3 linked regions of the Oryctolagus cuniculus genome follow. The protein of the gene in region 2 interacts with the protein of the main gene of each other region in a pairwise test. Links are inferred from orthologs where the notes say so. Each region holds a gene or a part of one and is shown on either strand. Other genes may lie near its edges.

Evidence for each region.
Region 1: the proteins of FHL2 (region 2) and ITGA7 interact in a two-hybrid assay, tested with the Homo sapiens proteins (2 studies listed by BioGRID and IntAct). The link is inferred for Oryctolagus cuniculus from reciprocal best matches to the Homo sapiens genes FHL2 and ITGA7.
Region 3: the proteins of FHL2 (region 2) and DCP1A interact in binary tests that used the Homo sapiens proteins (3 or more experiments, as listed by UniProt). The two-hybrid records come from large-scale screens. The link is inferred for Oryctolagus cuniculus from reciprocal best matches to the Homo sapiens genes FHL2 and DCP1A.

Annotation. Positions count from the first base shown.
Region 1 is NC_091442.1:58,535,391-58,541,288, forward strand, and holds the start of ITGA7 (integrin alpha-7), read right to left. Parts: upstream 4,003-5,898; 5' UTR 3,768-4,002; coding exon 3,562-3,767; intron 1-3,561. UniProt on the Homo sapiens protein: Integrin alpha-7/beta-1 is the primary laminin receptor on skeletal myoblasts and adult myofibers.
Region 2 is NC_091433.1:103,248,192-103,253,458, reverse strand, and holds the end of FHL2 (four and a half LIM domains protein 2), read right to left. Parts: intron 2,288-5,267; coding exon 2,136-2,287; 3' UTR 1,679-2,135; downstream 1-1,678. UniProt on the Homo sapiens protein: May function as a molecular transmitter linking various signaling pathways to transcriptional regulation. Negatively regulates the transcriptional repressor E4F1 and may function in cell growth.
Region 3 is NC_091441.1:96,494,083-96,500,039, reverse strand, and holds the start of DCP1A (mRNA-decapping enzyme 1A), read right to left. Parts: upstream 4,003-5,957; 5' UTR 3,865-4,002; coding exon 3,670-3,864; intron 1,169-3,669; coding exon 1,128-1,168; intron 1-1,127. UniProt on the Homo sapiens protein: Necessary for the degradation of mRNAs, both in normal mRNA turnover and in nonsense-mediated mRNA decay. Removes the 7-methyl guanine cap structure from mRNA molecules, yielding a 5'-phosphorylated mRNA fragment and 7m-GDP.

The sequences.
Region 1 (5,898 bases), on a different chromosome or scaffold from region 2:
GGGCAATGCCACAGGCAGGCATCTGTGGGGCACTGGGCCAGGTCTGACGGGGAGCGGTGGGGGAGGGCTCAGAGCCACTCTCCCTTCCCGAAAACGCCTCTTCCTCATCTCTGAGCAGCTGTCATCCCATGTCACAGCCAGTGGTAAGAGCAAGAAGGGGTAGGGAGTGGCAGGGAAGAGAGCGCCCATTCAGCATCCATTTAACTACTGCTTGAGAAACAAGGATGCGATGCTTCTTCAGCACCTACAATGGGGGAGGCCGTGGGCCAGACTCCAGGGACAGGAAGAACTAACGTCCATCACTCTCCATATACATGCAGGCACCAGGCCAGGACAAGTCACAAAGTCACACCCGTGGTCCCATCTGGCGCTCTCCACGTGGGAGAAGGATTCTGTTCTCGTCTATCAGGTGACACGAAGCCAGCATGCTGGAAATCACAGCCGCTGCTGCTAACTCTGGTTCTTTGTCATCCCCCCAATGACTGGGCCAACACTGAGACCAGAAAAGTAAAGCGGGTAGGGAAGGAACGGAAACCAGGTGACACGGCCCAGTGCAAGTCCTCAGTGCCCCAGGCTCCGCACTCAGGACCACCGCTGCTCCTGACTCAGCTCTGTGCTTGCCCTGTGGGAAGCGACAGGACGCATTTGCTGAGTCCATGCGCTATGCGGACTGACAGAGATGACGCCCGTGCCCCAGCGGGTCAGTGCACAGCTAAGCACTCAGAGGAGCTAACAGTGTCCCTTGCTCACATCTTCCCTGGAGGCCAGGAGTAGAGAAGAGGGGAGAGGAACGATGCTGACTGCATCAGTGTGCCCAGCTGCATCCCTAGTGGATCCCTCTGGGAACAAGCATCCCCACATGCAGCCTCTCCATCTCTGCCCCAGCCACACACTCCTTCCTGGCTCCCGTCCCATGAATTCAGCCACCCCAGGCCTCCGGACGGAATAGTAGCCACAACTGCAGCCGCTGCAGGGAGAAAGGCAAAGCAGAGCTGGCAGCCGGGGGCAGAGGGACTCCCTGGGAGCACCGCTAAGTGCAGACGAAGGAGGAGCCCACAAGTCCTGCACTCCCCCACTGTCCACGCTCTCCAGGGCTCCAGCCCAAGTCCAGCCCTTCTCTGACCCCTCTTCATCTGAGTGGCCCTCTGGGAAAGACTCTTGGCCTGGAAGGCTGGCTCCGGCAACGGGGCCTAGGAGCCCAGTCTTTGGATCTAGGATCATCGGACTACTCTCTACCCCTGTGAATCACAATACAAGAAAACAGCACCGGGGCCGGCGCTGTGGCATAGCAGGTAAAGCTGCCACCTGCGAAATCAGCATCCCATCCACGTCCGAGCCAGCTCCCTGCTAATGGCCTGGGAAAGCAGCAGAGGACGGCCCAAGTGCACCCATGTGGGAAACCCGGATGAAGCTCCTGGCTCCTGGCTTCAGCCTGGCCAAACCCTAGCTGTTGCAGCCATCTGAGCAGTGAACCAGTGGATGGAAGACTCTCTCTCTCTCTCTCTCTCTCTCTCTCTCTCTCTGTGTGTGTGTGTGTGTGTGTGCTGTGTGTGTGTGTGTGTGTATGTAACTCCTTCAAATAAATAAATATTTTAAAAATAACAACACTACTACACTTCCATGGCACTCACTATGAGTGGAGCACTATTCTAAGCATTGCACTTATATTAAACACACCATAGCAACCCCAGTTTACAGCCAAAAGAAATAAATGAGACCAAAACCACAGAACAAGGTAAGAAAGCTTGACTTCAATGTCTCATCTTGGGGCTAGACTGAAAGATATCAAAAGAGCCAGCATTGTGGAGTAGCAGGTTAAGCTGCCACCTGAGACAGCATCATCCAATATGAGTGCCAGGTTCAAGTCCCAGCTGCTCCACTTCCAATCCAGCTCCCTACTATTGAGCCTGGGAAAGCAGTGGAGGATGGCTCAAGAACATAGGCCCTTGCCACCCACATGAGAAACCCAGGCCTCAGCCACCCCACCCCACCCCTTTTTGTTGTAGCCATCCGGGGAGTGTACAGGTGGTTGGAAGATCTCTCTCTCTCTCTCTCCCTCTCTCTCTCTCTCTCTCTCTCTCTGCCTTTCAAATACATTTTAAAAAATAAATCAAGAAAGAAGAAAAGAGGTTTTTTCCATCAGTGAGTGCTAAAGAAGGCAATCCAGCCACCCAAAAGCTAGGGCACCCCCTGTTGGAGTAAAAGCAGGGTTAGTCAGGCCCCTCCGGGAATACCCCCAGCTTGGCTCTGGGAGACAAAATCAGGGGCCACCTTCAGAGAGGAGGGGGAAATGACAAGAGACCAAGCTATTAAAAATAACCTAGAATTTGCCTGGAAATAGCTCAGAGGGTTCAGCATGTCCTAAAAAGGCCTCCAGTCCTGGAATTCTGGCAGAGGGGGGAAAGAGGGAGGGAGGGAAGGAGGAAGGCAGGGAAGGAGACAAAGAGGGAGGAAGCGGATGGCAGGACCAAGAAGAGGTGAAGTCAGTTGTTTTCTATCTCCCCCAAAGTCTTGGGGACCACTGACACCACCCCCAGATGACAACGATAATGGGAAAAAAATCAAAGCCAGCCCCCACCTGAAGGGGGTGGGAGGGGAGGAATGACTCACTTCCCTGCACCCTGCCCCCGGGCCAACGGTAGGAAAAGACAGTCCCAGTGGACAACATTGATCCCAGTAATGGACACTTAGTGTGGCTCAGACACTGGCCAAGGATGGAAGAGCCCCCTCAGGAGGGGGTGGGAAGCTTTCTTCCTTCCCTGCGGCTCTTTGTGCACTCACACCTGCAGCCAGAGTGAAGGGTACAGGATTCACCGCCAGCACCGGCTACACACGCGGGGGGCGGGGGCTGAACTGGTAAGAAAAGAACTAGAATTGGTCTTCCTCCTCCCATCTCTACCTCCCGAGTCGGAAATTTCCTAAGGAGCAAGGGAGGCAGCAGGTCAGCATTCGTTCTGCATCTCCCCGGCTGCTGCTAAGACTACTCTGGGGACTTCTGTTTTCTGGCGCCCTCGACCCCCAAACCCACTCCTGCACTTTGCCAGACCCTGGCAGGTCCCCCCACACACACACAACCTCCTGTGACACTGGTCCATGGAAGTGGCAGCTCTCTCCCGGCCTCCCAGAGCCCTGATGCCCTCCCTACATCCTGTGGCCATGGTCTGGCAGGAGGTTAGGTCCTCGGTTCTCCCTCCATCTCTCTGCCTCTCTCCTCCCCTCCTACCCTGAGCAGAGACAGAAGGGACAGTGTCCCTCCCTGCGGGAAACTTGTCCTCTAAAAAGAAGGGGAGCCAGAGACCCTGGGGCTGGAGTAAGGATGTGCGGGGTGGGGGTGGGGGCATCAGCAGGAGATGGGCCCCTCCAGAGGCGAGAACCTGGCCCTCCAACTCATCCCCAGAGCGAGATCTTGGGTCTCGGGGCCTGGGAGTACCGGACGCTACCCACCCGAGACAGATGATGTGGACTGGGGCGTGGGATATCTATCTGTGGGGCTGGAAAACTGAGAGGAAGAGGCAGAGGGTGGTCTGAGGCTCAGGCGGGCGGGAGCGGCGACTCACTCACCAGCTCTGGGGTCGGGGCTGCAACTGCCGGTGCAGGGCCACAGAGAAGCCGAAGAGGCTGCCAGGCTCGCCCTCCTTGCGCAGGGCGCCCATCACGTCCAGGTTGAAGGCGACAGCCCGTGGCGGGAGCAGGCTAATGAGCAGAGAGCCAAGAAAGCAGCAGATCCCGGGGACCCCCCAAGGATCGCGGCGCCGAGTCCCGGCCATGAGCTGAGCCCCGCGCGCGCTGCCCGCAAGCGCGAGGAAATTCCCGCGCCCGAGCCCCAGCTCTCGGCAGGCGCGGCTTGGGTCTCCGAAGTCTCTCTGCTCTCTGGGGGGGTCTCCAAACTTTCGCCCCGCCACCCCTTCCTATCCTGCCCCTTTGATGTCCCAGCACCCGCTAGGGCAAATGCCGCAGCCGCAGCTCCAGCGTCCGCGCTCTCGCTCCCGCCTCCCCTCCCAGGGTGCCGCCCAGGCCCCGCCCAGGCCCCGCCCCTCGCCCCAGCGGCAGGTGGAGGAGCGGGGGCGTGGCTAAAGGATGCCCAGGCCCGCAGCTTCGGAGAGAGCTGGAGCTGGCCTTCCTGCCCCTGCTGCCCCTGTTCCTCCGGGTCCAGCACCGGCTCCGGCCCAGTCACGCAGTGCCCTCGACCCCTCCCCACATCGACCCCTCGCCCCTACCCTAGCGGTGGGGGCGGTGCCTAGGAACGGGGAGGGAGCGAGAAGTGCCCAGGAAAGAGTAAGGAGGGTAGCAGGAAAGTGGCGGAGACTGAAGAACAACCTGGGAGGAGAGAGGCGGACAGAGAGAAGAACGATGAGCAGTCCTGGGCCCCACACGAGGGAGCCTCCAAAAAGTTAACGGAAAATGGTTATTTTGGTGCAATAGTATTTTCTGAAAGCCATGCCATGATATGCATTTCCCATGAACTTTTGCACCAAAGTGAACTTATCTTTTAATTCTATTTTCCGCCAACTTTTTGAAGCATCCTGGTACAGCACCTCATCCCCGCCCCCGCCCCCGCCCTCGCCCTCGCCCCCAGCCTGGCTATGACCAGGCCTTGCTAGCACTGAGGTCAGCATTCACAGGAGCAGAGGATAGGGTGTAGACGAGGAGAAGACAGGGAGGGGAGCAAGTGGAGAGCTGGAGAAAGAGAAGCATGACAGAGGCAGGAGGAAGGCCAAGAGTCTGACCAACAAGGGGCAGGATGAAGGCAGAAAAGACAGAGGGTGACACAGGAAGAGGAGATCAAGCTGCAGGGGTGAGGGGGTGGGCTCATCCAGGAACCGCAAACACTGGACCCAAGAGGCAGAGGGATGCAAAGGAGCCTGCAGCCACCAGACTGTTCCCGGGACTTTGCGGCTCCCATGGGGCAGAAGGGGCGGGGCAGAGCCCTGGACTGGCTCAGCAGGATGCGGGTGGGGCACAGAAGGGATCTCCACGGGGACCCAATGGCCTGTCCCTCTTCCTCTCCCTTCCCCCAGGCTGGGACAGAGGCAAAGGGAGAGGGGGACATTTTCCAACTTTCTGCTATTTATAACTCTAATCCAGAGGCTGGGCCATGGGGAGAGCCAGGAAACAATTCAGCACAACTGGGACCTCTCTGGCTCCCATGCCCTCATCCTCCTCCTTGTTTTCACTGGCTATTGGTCCTGTGCGGGTCCATCTGTCCATCTTTCCCTTCTCTCTCCCTCTCTCCCCCCCCCCATCCCAAATTCTATTTTTGTCCCTCCCTTGTCTCTGTCACACTTGGAATCTTAGACTATTTCTCAATGTCTCTAATGTCGTTTCTGCCTGTCAAATGCTGGCACATTGTATGACTCTCTTCTTCCTTCTTCTCTGAAATATTCAGGTCTGTGTCCTACCTATCTCCTCTTCCCATGATCCTCTGTCTCTCTTCCTTCTTTGTTCAGGAGTGTCCGTGGGGCCCTCACTCTGCCAGCCCTGGGACAATCCTTGACCTGGGTGTGTTGCCACTTGAAGGTCTGGCCTCCTTTTTTTTTTTTTTTTTTTTTTTTTTTTTTTTTTGTACAACTACACCTGTGGACACCCCATCCAGGGCATCTCTAGACAGGGGCTAAGAAGGAACCCTGCACCAGCATTCTCCTTGCACTCTCTCCCAGAGATGTCCTGTCCATCTCTGCTGTCTCAGAGTCCCAGGCAGTGGAGAAGAGCTGACAGGACAGAACCCAGGCCTCCTGAGTCCCCACCCGGTTCTCCAGCTGCTGCCTCTCTGCACCTGCAGCCTGTCAGCCCCCTATGTGCACTCCACCAGCTTCGGAGAAATCCAAAGCTGAAATCAGATGCCAAGAATCTGTGTCTGACCTCTCTGCCCAAATATTTCAGAAGTCACCTCACCAGCCA
Region 2 (5,267 bases):
TGTAGCTCTTGGGGGGCAAATACAAGTGATCAATGAAACAGTGAATCATTGTAATGATAGAAAATAAAGACGTGACATGATAGGGACAGTGAAGGGGGGGTGAGAAGCTACTTCAAGTGCTCATTTCGAAGGCTGTTTATTTTAAAGGGGTAATGACTCAGGGGCAGCTGTGGATAGCTGCCAGGAAGAACATCCTGCCTGTGGTCCATTTTAGTACCTGCGGAATCTGTTCATTCCTCAAAGGTGCCATCTGCTTCCCAACACCTGAGTATCCCCTGGCCTGGCCTTAAATCGTGCTTCAGCAGATGAATATTTTGGTCACTTCTGGATCCTTGCTATGAGAAATGAAAAAACCAGGGCCGGCTCTGTGGCTCAGCAGGTTGAAACCACAGCCTACAGTGCCAGCATCCCATATGGGCATCGGTTTGAACTCCAGCTCCTCCACTTGTGATCCAGCTCCCTGTTAAGGTGCCTGGGAAAGCAGTGGAGAATGGCCCAAGTGCTTGGGACCCTGAACCCATGTAGGAGAGCCAGATGAAGCTCCTGGTTCCTGGCTTCAGCCTGACCAAGCCTGGCCCAACCCTGGCCCAACCCTGGCCCTAGCGGCCATTTGGGGAGTGAACCAGCAGATGGAAGATCTCTCTGTAACTCTTTCAAATAAATATATAAATCTTAAAAAAAGAAGAAAAAGCCCAGGCTTGCCCACAGCAAATACATGTCCCAGCCAATAGCCATCTGGCCATGCCAGATGCGTGACCACTAGTCACCTGTCCCCCAGCCTCTCTGCTAGGGAACATCTGTCCAAATTGCCGATTAAGAATTGTGAGTGAATACAGCAGGGGTTGTATTAAGCCGCTGAGTATTGCGGGTAGTTTGCTACGCAACAATAGATAGGTATCAGACAAGGGCCAGTGAGAAAATCCTGAGGCTTAATTTTTTTTTATTTTTAATGTTCATTTTATTTGAAAGAGTTCCCATCCGGTGGTTCACTCTCCAAGTGCCTGCAATAGCAGTGGATGTGCCAGGCTGAAGCCAGGAGCCAGGAACTCACTCCCAGTCTCCCTCACGGGTCGCAGGAACTGCAGTAAGCCATCATCTGCTGCTGTCCTGGGGTGGGCATTCATGGGAAGCTGTATTGGAAGCAGAGCCCGAGCTAGAACCAGGCTATCCAAGATTATTTCAGCCACTGTAAACCTAGGCGCCCAGAGTAGTATTCTGACAGCAATGATTCTATCATTCCCTTTGCAGAAACACTGAAGGCTTCCTACATGCCCTCAGTTGCTAGGATACTGAGTATAAAGATGAACAGGATGTCACTTCTGGCCCTCAAGTTGCTTGTGCCCTTGCCCAGTCCTTCACTTGATGGGGGAGAAAGCAGTTCAGTGTAGGAGATCCATCACAGTGGGACAAAGCCAGCATCTGCCAGGAAAAGTGACACCCAAATGGCCCTGCCTGTCACTGGCTTCAAATGCAGAGCAGTGCGTTCCAGGGAGCACTTGGGAAACGAGAAGAAAGAGAAGAGGCAGGAGAGACATGGATCTGCAGGCTTCCTGGAAGTAGTGACACCACTTCCGGTCCCAGCACATCAGAACTTGCAGGGCACAGAACAATCGCTGGGCCAGGCAAGAAAGTTGTCCTTACATTGAGAATCCCAACGTTTAATCATTAATCCAAAACATTCTGTCTGGAATAACTTTATTGTAAATCACATACTCTTGCTTTCGATTTTACATAACAGGAAGTTTAAAAGCTGTAGGTACCAATGCTTCATTACCTTATACAGTTCTTAAAAGTCAAGTTTGTGACATATGCGAATTGCACTTAAATATGCAGTGAAAAGAAAGATAAGCTTATAAAGACATCATTCGAGAGGAGTTTTGCAATTGGATTGGCCCTAATAACTACAGAAATTCCAAACTATCTTCCCACGTAGGGTTGCATGAGGATTCTCGCTTTTCCCTGGGACTGACTTAGTCCCGAAGATGAAAGGATTTAAACAGACAAGACTAGCACTGAGAAGCACATGAGGCAGGTGGAAGCCAGAGCACAATATTGCTGGTGGAGAAAGAAAATACATAAATGTGTGTGTGTGTGTGTGACTCAAGCAGCGACTGCGCGCTATCCCCGCGGGGCCTTCAGATGTCTTTGCCGCAGTCCGGGCACAGGATGTCGTCCCTCTCTGTGAGGAAGCCCCGCCCCACCAAGGACAGGGAGCACTTCTTGCAGTTGAAGCAGTCGTTGTGCCACTGCCGCTCCTCGAAGGAGATGTATTTTGTGCCACCAATTCCTGTTAACAAAGAACAACACCACCACTGAATGAAGGCAGGAAGGGAGGGTTCGCTGGTTAGACTGGAGCCCCACGGCTGAAGGAGTCCTCGCGGGCTCCTCTTCCAAGTCTGCACTGTGTGCTTTGGACAGAGAGCTGTGTGTAAGGCAGATACTAAGTGCAGCCTGCATGAGCCCACAGACGTTGAACAAAGACATACAGGGCCTGGCCCTGAAGTGATGTGATACTACAAAAAGGGCCTACTGTGTGTATCTGTTCACTAGTTTATTGCAGGTTTTCCCACGTGAAACAGAACAGGGAGCAGGTTCCTCAGGCCCTCCTTGTGCCTGCTGTGTCTGCTGCCCAGAGGTTTTTTTTTTTAAAGCTTTAATAAATGAAGCGCTAAAAGGAGTGTAGAGGGGCCAGCGCTGTGGCGCTGTGGCGCTGTGGTGCAGTGGGTTAATCCTCTGCCTGTGGCACTGGCATTCCATCTAGGCTCTGGTTCGAGACCCAGCTGCTCCACTTCCGATCCAGCTCTCTGTTATGGCCTGGGAAAGCAGTAGAAGATGGCCCAAGTCCTTAGGCCCCTGCACCCATGTGGAGACCGGGAGGAAGCTCCTGGCTCCTGGCTTCAGATCGGCGCAGCTCCAGCCGTTGTGGCCAACTGGAGAGTGACCCAGCAGATGAAGACCTCTCTCTACCTCTCCTCTTTCTGTGTAACTCTGACTTTCAAATAAATAAATCTTTAAAAAAAAAAAAAAAAAAAAAAAAGGGCCGGCGCCGCGGCTCACTAGGCTAATCCTCCGCCTAGTGGCGCCGGCACACCAGGTTCTAGTCCCGGTCGGGGCGCCGGATTCTGTCCCGGTTGCCCCTCTTCCAGGCCAGCTCTCTGCTGTGGCCCGGGAGTGCAGTGGAGGATGGCCCAAGTCCTTGGGCCCTGCACCCCATGGGAGACCAGGAAAAAAGCTCCTGGCTCCTGCCATCGGATCAGTGCGGTGCGCCGGCCGCAGCGCACTGGCCGTGGCGGCCATTGGAGGGTGAACCAACGGCAAAAGGAAGACCTTTCTCTCTGTCTCTCTCACTGTCCACTCTGCCTGTCAAAAAAAAAAAAAAAAAAAAAAAAGGAATGTAGAAGAGGAAAGGGTTCATCTTCTCTGGTGGGGCGGCCAGGGAAGGCCCCAGCAACTAAGTGGTGTGGGGGTGGGGAAGAAGGAGTGGGCCTTCCTCAGAGTAAAGTCCTTGACACAGCTCCAGGAGCGTGAACGCAGGCGGTGCAGTCAGATGGGGCGGGCATAAGATGAGGCTGTTAGCATACATGGAAACAGACCAGGAAAATGTGGAGGCAAGGGACAAGGCCGTCTTGTAATTGTACATAGGAAAAGTAGTATCTCATTACAACTGTTCGCTTTATATTGGATGCCTAACTCCCATCAACTGTTTTAATTACACTGGGTACAGTTGATTTATGCTGCTGTTCATCACCTGGAATAAAACAGAATCAAACGCATATGCTGATGTCAGAATGGAAGTCACTTCTGTTGAAATGGGGGTCATGAATTTCAACTTCAAAGAATTCCTTCCAGAAAGTCTTAATGAACTATACTAAAACAAAGCAAGCAGACCGACCACTCCACTTCTAAAATCTGAGGTCTCAGACTTAGATGAGGAATCTGTAATTCACCAGCTAATTTCCGTTGTAACACTTTTTATTAGAAAAATTTATTTATTTACTTAGAAGGCAGGATGATAGAGAAACAGAGAGAGAGAGAGAGAGAAAGAGGGAGATCTTCCATCCAGGGTTCACTCCCAAAATGGCTGCAATGGCAGAGGCTGGTCCAGGCTGAAGCCAGGAGCCAGGAATGCCATCCAGGCCTTCCACACGGGTGCAGGGGCCCAGGCACTTGGGCCATCTTCAGCTGCTTTCCCAGGCCATTAGCAGGAGCTGCATCAGAAGTGGAGCAGCCAGGACCTGAAATGGCTCTCGCTCTCAGATATGGGATTCTGGCATGGCATTGCCCTTCGCATTATAACTGAATTGTCTAGGCTGGTGCTGGGCATTAAACTCTGTACAGGAGGGAGAGCTTAGAGTTAATCTTCCTCCACCAATCAGTTGCAGGGTTGGGACCTGAACCCAAGACATGCAATGCCAGTTCTAATACCACACTGATGGCTACTGATGGAGCAGATATTTATATTAGTGAAGCTTTGCAGATCTCTTTTCCTAAACGCCTTATGGTTTAAAGAAAGTGACGCCAAAATAAACAGTGTTTCTAGACCACCAATTGCCCTCACGAATCTGACTCCCAAGGGCCATGAAAGACCAAGGGTTCACAGATCCTGTGCCTGGCACTGCACAGGACTCAGCTGGTGGGGTAAGCTAACTTCCCTGCATATCTGGGAAACTGAAACATTCCAACACCCAGCTCATCGCAAATAAATCATGACGCGGGCATCTGTCATGTAGGAAACCGGCTAGGTTCTGCAGCGGAGAGCCAAGCTGGAGAAGCAGAGGTGGAGGCGACACTAACTTGATCTAGGGGCAGGGCTGGTGCAGGGTTGGAAAGTGGTTGTTTCTCTTCTTGGCACATGGACCTCACCCTGAGTCAGCCTGCAGAGCCCAGGAGAAGCTGCTGGGACTCCCTGGAGTTCCTGACACCCCATGCTTCTGTCTCTCTCACCTCTCATGGCTTTGCTGCACCCTAGAGCCGGGGGCAAGGAGGAGACTAGCCGAGGGGATGCAGAGGGTGTTAGTGACAGGCGCCATGCAGGCTGGCCCAGAAGGGAAGTCCCCTGTCTCCATTCTGTGCTCTCAAATGCCAACAAATGGAGTGAGTGACAGAAATGAGAGCCCACGTCAGCCCAAAGGGGAGGAGCCTCCTATAGGAAACATGTACACAGTGGATTCCGGTTATTCGCGGTAGTTATGTTCCAGAACATTCCCACAAACACTGAATTAGCAAAAACTGAGCCATTGCTCCGAAGAGAAATACAGGCTTCAGTT
Region 3 (5,957 bases), on a different chromosome or scaffold from region 2:
TTCCAGACCTAAATCCCAGTAACAGTTAAAGAGTTTTTTAAAGATTTATATTACTAATGCAGAGTGTGAAAGGGGTTAGGGTCAAGTCCCTCCTTTTAAAAATGAGAACAAATCAAGGAAATAAAGTGCCAATTTAGGAAGAGCTTGCTGTACAGATATCAAAGTACTTACACTTAAAAGCAGAAAAAGATGAGTGTGCTTAGACAAGATCTCAAAGCTTTACATTAAAATTTAGAAGACTATTTGACAAATTATTTTAAGTTAGTATTGATAGAAAAAGGCAATCCTTAATACAAAAAAAAAAACAAAAACAAAAACAAACAAACAAACAAACACACAAACCCAGATGTCAGTAATGGTCCCCATTGACTGTAAGCTTCAGAGAACAAGGGGAAGCACTGAACCTATGAAATGCATAACATCTGTTCTCTTTATATTAATAAAAATTAAAAAAATAAAAAAGAGGAAAAAAAAGAAAACAAGAGAAGGCAACTACCCATTTCAGAGCAAAACCTCAGGGGGATCCAGGAAAACAAGTTCTCCACTACTTCTACATTCTGTCAGTTGCCTTTAGGCTTCCCAAGCTATAATTCCCAAACCAATCACATTTTAACATAATTATCAGAGATGTTGAAAATTAGAAATGTACAATATGAATAACCTAGGCTTTCTGACGAATTCTCAAAGAAGCTAAAAATACATATGGTTAAAGATGCTATGCATAATCCAGAACTTTTAGAGCGGCTGGAGTGGAAGCAGCCACTACAGAGTGGAGGCCCAGCCTCTCAGTCTCACCTCATTGTTTTACAGACCTAGTCTGTTTTCTCAAACACTCTTTGCTCTTTAATAGCGTCAGGAGGGAGGAATCTGTTTCAGGCTCATTCATTTGTCAAAAATGCTTTCTATTTCGAAAAGGTTTTACCAAACTCTTAAAAAGATTCTACTTCCATTTATCCCAATTCACAGGAAGGCTCACAGAAGGGAAAGAACTTGGTTAGGAACTCAGAGCTAGGGGTGGATGCAACCAAAGGGGAGAAGCAGGAGAGTTCCCCCCAAAACGCACAAAGTGGCACCATCTCATGACAGATCACCATATACTTAAAACATTTATTATAAAAAACGCTTACCTTCGGTATACAAATAAGGTCCCTTCTATATCAGTCTTCTCCTGTAACACAATGAATCAATTAGTATTTTCCCCATAATCCAACTCCAAACACTCCCTAAGGAGAACTACTTCATGTTTATGAGTAACTTGTTTTATTTACTGTAAAATTAACCACCTTTGAACAGGGAAAGTTAAGTCTCCCTCTAATGGCACAAATTTCGGTTACCAATTTCCTATGCATCCTTTCAATGCTGCTGATGCAGACATAGGCACATACAGACTTTAACCCAGCAACCTGTCTTTATCTGTAGCATTTTTCTTTTATAATCAGTGAAAGAGAAAATCACAGAACTAGCTTTCACTTTTTAAAGAAAATGTTTTGGCCAGATTTCTTAATTTTAATGACAAAGTCCTGTGGGCAACAATTTCTTAACTTTTTAAAGTTTATCAAACTTAACATAAAAAAAATGGAAATTTTCTTAGAGGATCCCTTGTTTTATCACTGGAACATTTTGGTATATTTTCATGAGTAGCACACCTTGTGGTTAAGAATTACTATCAACACAATTAGGTAATTATTTTTTAGAACTTTGCTAAAGAATCATGAATACTGAAATTATACTCTGCCTTAAATAATTATTTTATCTTACAAGTAATGCAAAAAATATTTTAAAGTGACCTTGATCAAGAGTACAACTCAGTATTACCTTTCATTTGTTCTGCCAGAGTGTATTTAAATTTCAAACAAAGAAACAATGTTGCAATGTCTGCAGTTCACCACTTGCTGGACCTAACTATTTTAATGCAATGAAGAACATGTTAAAACTTTACATGTTAGACATATCAAACCAAATTATTTGGGATAATTTATACATGTAAAAAATCTCAATATCTTCCAGTATTACCTTAGCTTAAATATAATCATCAATCTTCCTTCCTAAGAATTCAGAAGCTTTTTCTTGCCTTCAAAATGTTATTAGTATTAAATAACTGGTGATCAAATGTCTCAAAGAAAATTTGTCCCCCAAAAAACACAGAACAGAAAAAGATGTGGTTATGCTCTATGAGCCGTGCTTCAATACATAAAAACAGCAGTTTATTTTTCAATTGTACTAGGGTATGGCAAAAAAGCTTGTGGAAAATGAAATTAAAATTATTTCGGCACAAAAAATTCTGAATTCCAAGCATTTTTTTCCAGAATATGTATTTTCCATGAACTTTTTTTGTAAACTGTTTACATCTCATATATAAACAAGAATTTTAGTTTAAAATTCTAAAATATTCAAAATGTATCAACAACTAGAAATAAGAACTTTTTAGGCACAAATTACAGTCCCATTCTTCCCCATTTGTTGGCAATCTATATTTCACAAACCAAGAGAAACGACTGAAAACATTTCAAACTAAGGCAATGTCTAAAATAGCTACACTTAAAAACACTCTATATTTTCATTCTCTGTGACTTCTCATGCTTCCTGTCTTCCAGGTGGTAAGAAAAAGATCATGAAAATTCTCTCCATGTGAATTAACTGTTGGTAAATGCCAGATGATTTTCATATAATTACTGACAAATATAACCTATGCATCTGTATAGTAAGGGACACAGTATGACAATCCTCCACAGTTTTGTTGAAAACTTTCACGCTCACTGAATGTCTGTGCCAGTCACTGACGAATTCAACGCAGCAAGCGTTTACTTAGTAAATTCTAGGTGTACAGCTTATGGCTGAATGAGTGAACCAGGGAGGGTCCGCAACCAGGAAACTGTTATTTTAACAACTAAAAGTACTTCAGGCAGGGACTAGCAAGAGCTGGTGAACAGAGAGAAAGTAACTTTTCAGACTCCCTCTGGTGCCCGAAAGCCAAAGTATTCAGTCCGCTGGGAGTGTTCAGAGGTGACATCACCGGTCTTTTTCCTGGAAAAGGTCTCCAGGGAATCCAATTAACACAGCAGCCCCCCTCCTAAGTGCCTTACGATCTTTTCCAAAACTCCGGAAATACAGGTACGAGTTCGATTAAACCTGGACTCATCCCACGCCCTCCCTCCCAAGAATTCAGACTAATTGGATTTCAAGTTTTAAATCCAAATGACCTCTGCTAAGGGGGCTCTCGTTTCTGTCCGCTGGGTGGCGGGGGTGGGGGGGAGGGGTGCTAATCTTGCAGATCATATATACATATGTAATTTATCCAATAATCCTCTAATCAGGAAACAAGCTTTCAGGGCCCATCTGACCCCACTGGTCTCACATCCTCCAGTGCACAGAAGAAGGAGGCAGGTCGCCCACGTCCTCAGACCCGAGCCCAAGGGACTGATCCTGGTCCAATCGTCCCCTCTGTCAGCTTTTCCCTGGGATGTCTCAGGCCCACTTCTCCTGTTCCTCTGCCCGAATCCCGGACACCCCCGACATCCCTCAGCTTCCCACCCGCCTCTTCGCCACTCCGCGACCTCACCTCCGCCGCCCTGGCCTCCAGCTTCGCCCCCCACACCAGGCAGCCCGCGCGGCCCCTTTAAGAGGTGGCGGCGGCCAGGACGGAGTCCTCAGCGGTCGCGCATCACTCACCCACTGGTTAGCCTTGGGACAGAAGGTGTACAGAGCGACCTGGCCCGTGAGGTCTGCGATGCTGGTGATGTAGGGGTCGTGCTGCTTCAGGGCCGCCAGACTCATCTCCTGCCCAGCTCGACTCAGCGACTCCATCTTGAATCCTGGAGCCGAGCCCCTCCGGTGGGGGCGGAGTCGCGGACAGGAAAGTGCCATCGAGGAAAAGTTCCCCCAGCTGCGTCAGCCCTCTCAACTTCCGCCTCTCTGAGGAGTCTGACAGCGGGGTGGTACAGCAGCCATTTAGCTCCGCCGCGCGCATGCCCCGGACGTCGAGTTCCGGCGTCGGCAGGTCCCATCCGCCCGAGCCGTCGGGGGCGGCGTGCGCGGCTGCGCGATGGGGCTGGCTGGAAGCGTTTCCTGCCCTCAGGCTGCGCTGTCCAGGTGAGGGAGGTGACGGCTGCCAGGAGAGGCTGGCGAGCGACGCTCCCTGGGATTACAGAAAGGAAACCCTGCTGTGGAAAAGGCTCTGCGGGCCGTTTAGAAGGCACGGAGAAGCGTGGGGCAGGGGGGCCTTAAATGACCCTCACTGATGTCGTCACTGATGGTTTCCGAAAGGAGAATTCGAGAACCTTCTTGGAGCTCCACAGGAGTGGCGTTTCCTTCGCCTGGATCCCGCGTGCATATTTTCAGTCAGCCCTGGGAGGAGCCCGTGGGGATTCGAACTCGTTTGGAACCTTATAAAATTTTAAATAGGTCACTCCTTTTGGCGAACATGTACTGAGCGTTTTAAGGAATCAGGTAGTAGCTAAAGAGTAAAACAAGTGAAAACTGTAGGGAGCTTTAGCTCCCCCCACACTTCAAAAAGCAAGTTTTTTTTTTTTTTAATTGATGGGACACCCCAACAGAATTGAAATGTTTTGAAGGGAAAACATGTTCTCCTCATAAAAATAGCACTCATGTCTGCAGCATGTACCAATGCTGGCAAAAACAAAACAAAGCAAAACAAAACAAAACAAAACACCACTCATTTAACTTTTGTTGTACAGGTGTTTATGGAACTCCTAATTGTGAAAAAGGGGCCGTTTGGAGCTTCCAAGTCTTGTTTAAGACATCTCCCTGGCTCCCTGAGAAAGGGAAAGAAGTAGGACAATCTAAGGAAACAGGGATGATGTTAAGAGACGTTGCTCTTTGATACCCAGAGGATGGAGCTACTAACTCTGGCCAGGGAGAATCTAGAAAGGCTTCATGGAGGAGGTGACATTGGGCTCAGTGCTCCAGGGATGAGCAGGAGTTCATCAGGGAAGAAAGGTAAGGGCTTTGGTTCATTTTACAGTGAGGTAGGAAGATGATTTAATTGAAGCCAGGGAGGAGAAGGCACTGGTTCGGAATTCCACACCAGTCAGCGGGGATCTGGTATTAGAACCCAGGGACTCCTGCCCTGTATCTTGAGATTTTTTCCCCCTCCACACCACAATTGCCTTTCTCTTCCCAGTGGCTGGAAGTAGCAGCTTTATTCCCCTCCACCTGCCTTCAATCCATTAACAACAAAAACCTCTGTACTATAGATATGTATTTTAAAATAGGTAATATACTCACTAGGTACAAACTGCAAGAGGCACAACTGAAACTGAATTTAGGTTTTTTTCCCTTGTATAGACTTACATCTCCTTTTAATCTACTATTTTTGGTTGAACCAGTGTAGACTAGTGAGGAGGACTGAGCTATTGAGGGAGTTTTTGTGTTTGGACTAGAAAATCACTTCAAATGTGTGCTTGCATGGGCTCTCAGGCCCTACACCACGCTTGAGAGGTAGTAAAAATAATGTAAATATTCTAGAATTGAAAGCCATCCCATTTATCTTGAGGTCCACTTTTGCTTTGTCAAGGCCTTTTTTGTGTCTTTAGACAGTGTACTCTGGGCAAGGAGAGATGGCCCTGCAGGTCCTTCGAACCCAGCACTGGCCCCGACACCGAGCACCTTTAAATGCTGGGGAACCAATGTGGTCTTGAAGTCCACACAAGAGCCTGGAGAGGGGGAGGAGGAGGGAACTGGGTGACAGCAGAGGTGGCAAGGAGGCCTACTCTTTACCCAAAGACCTTTAGTCGCTTTTGAGTTGTGTTCTCTGTATGCTAATTATTTAAAATAGTGGCAGTGTAATCAATGGGAGCCTGAAAATCTAATCAGTCCACCCCTTCTGCTCCCCCTCTGCGCAGCTTTGGGGTTAACCAAACAGTCTTGCTATTTACCGTCTGGAAGTCTAAAGGGCAAGGAAGACAATGAGGCTGTCAGTGTTTTACTTCCAAATCTAC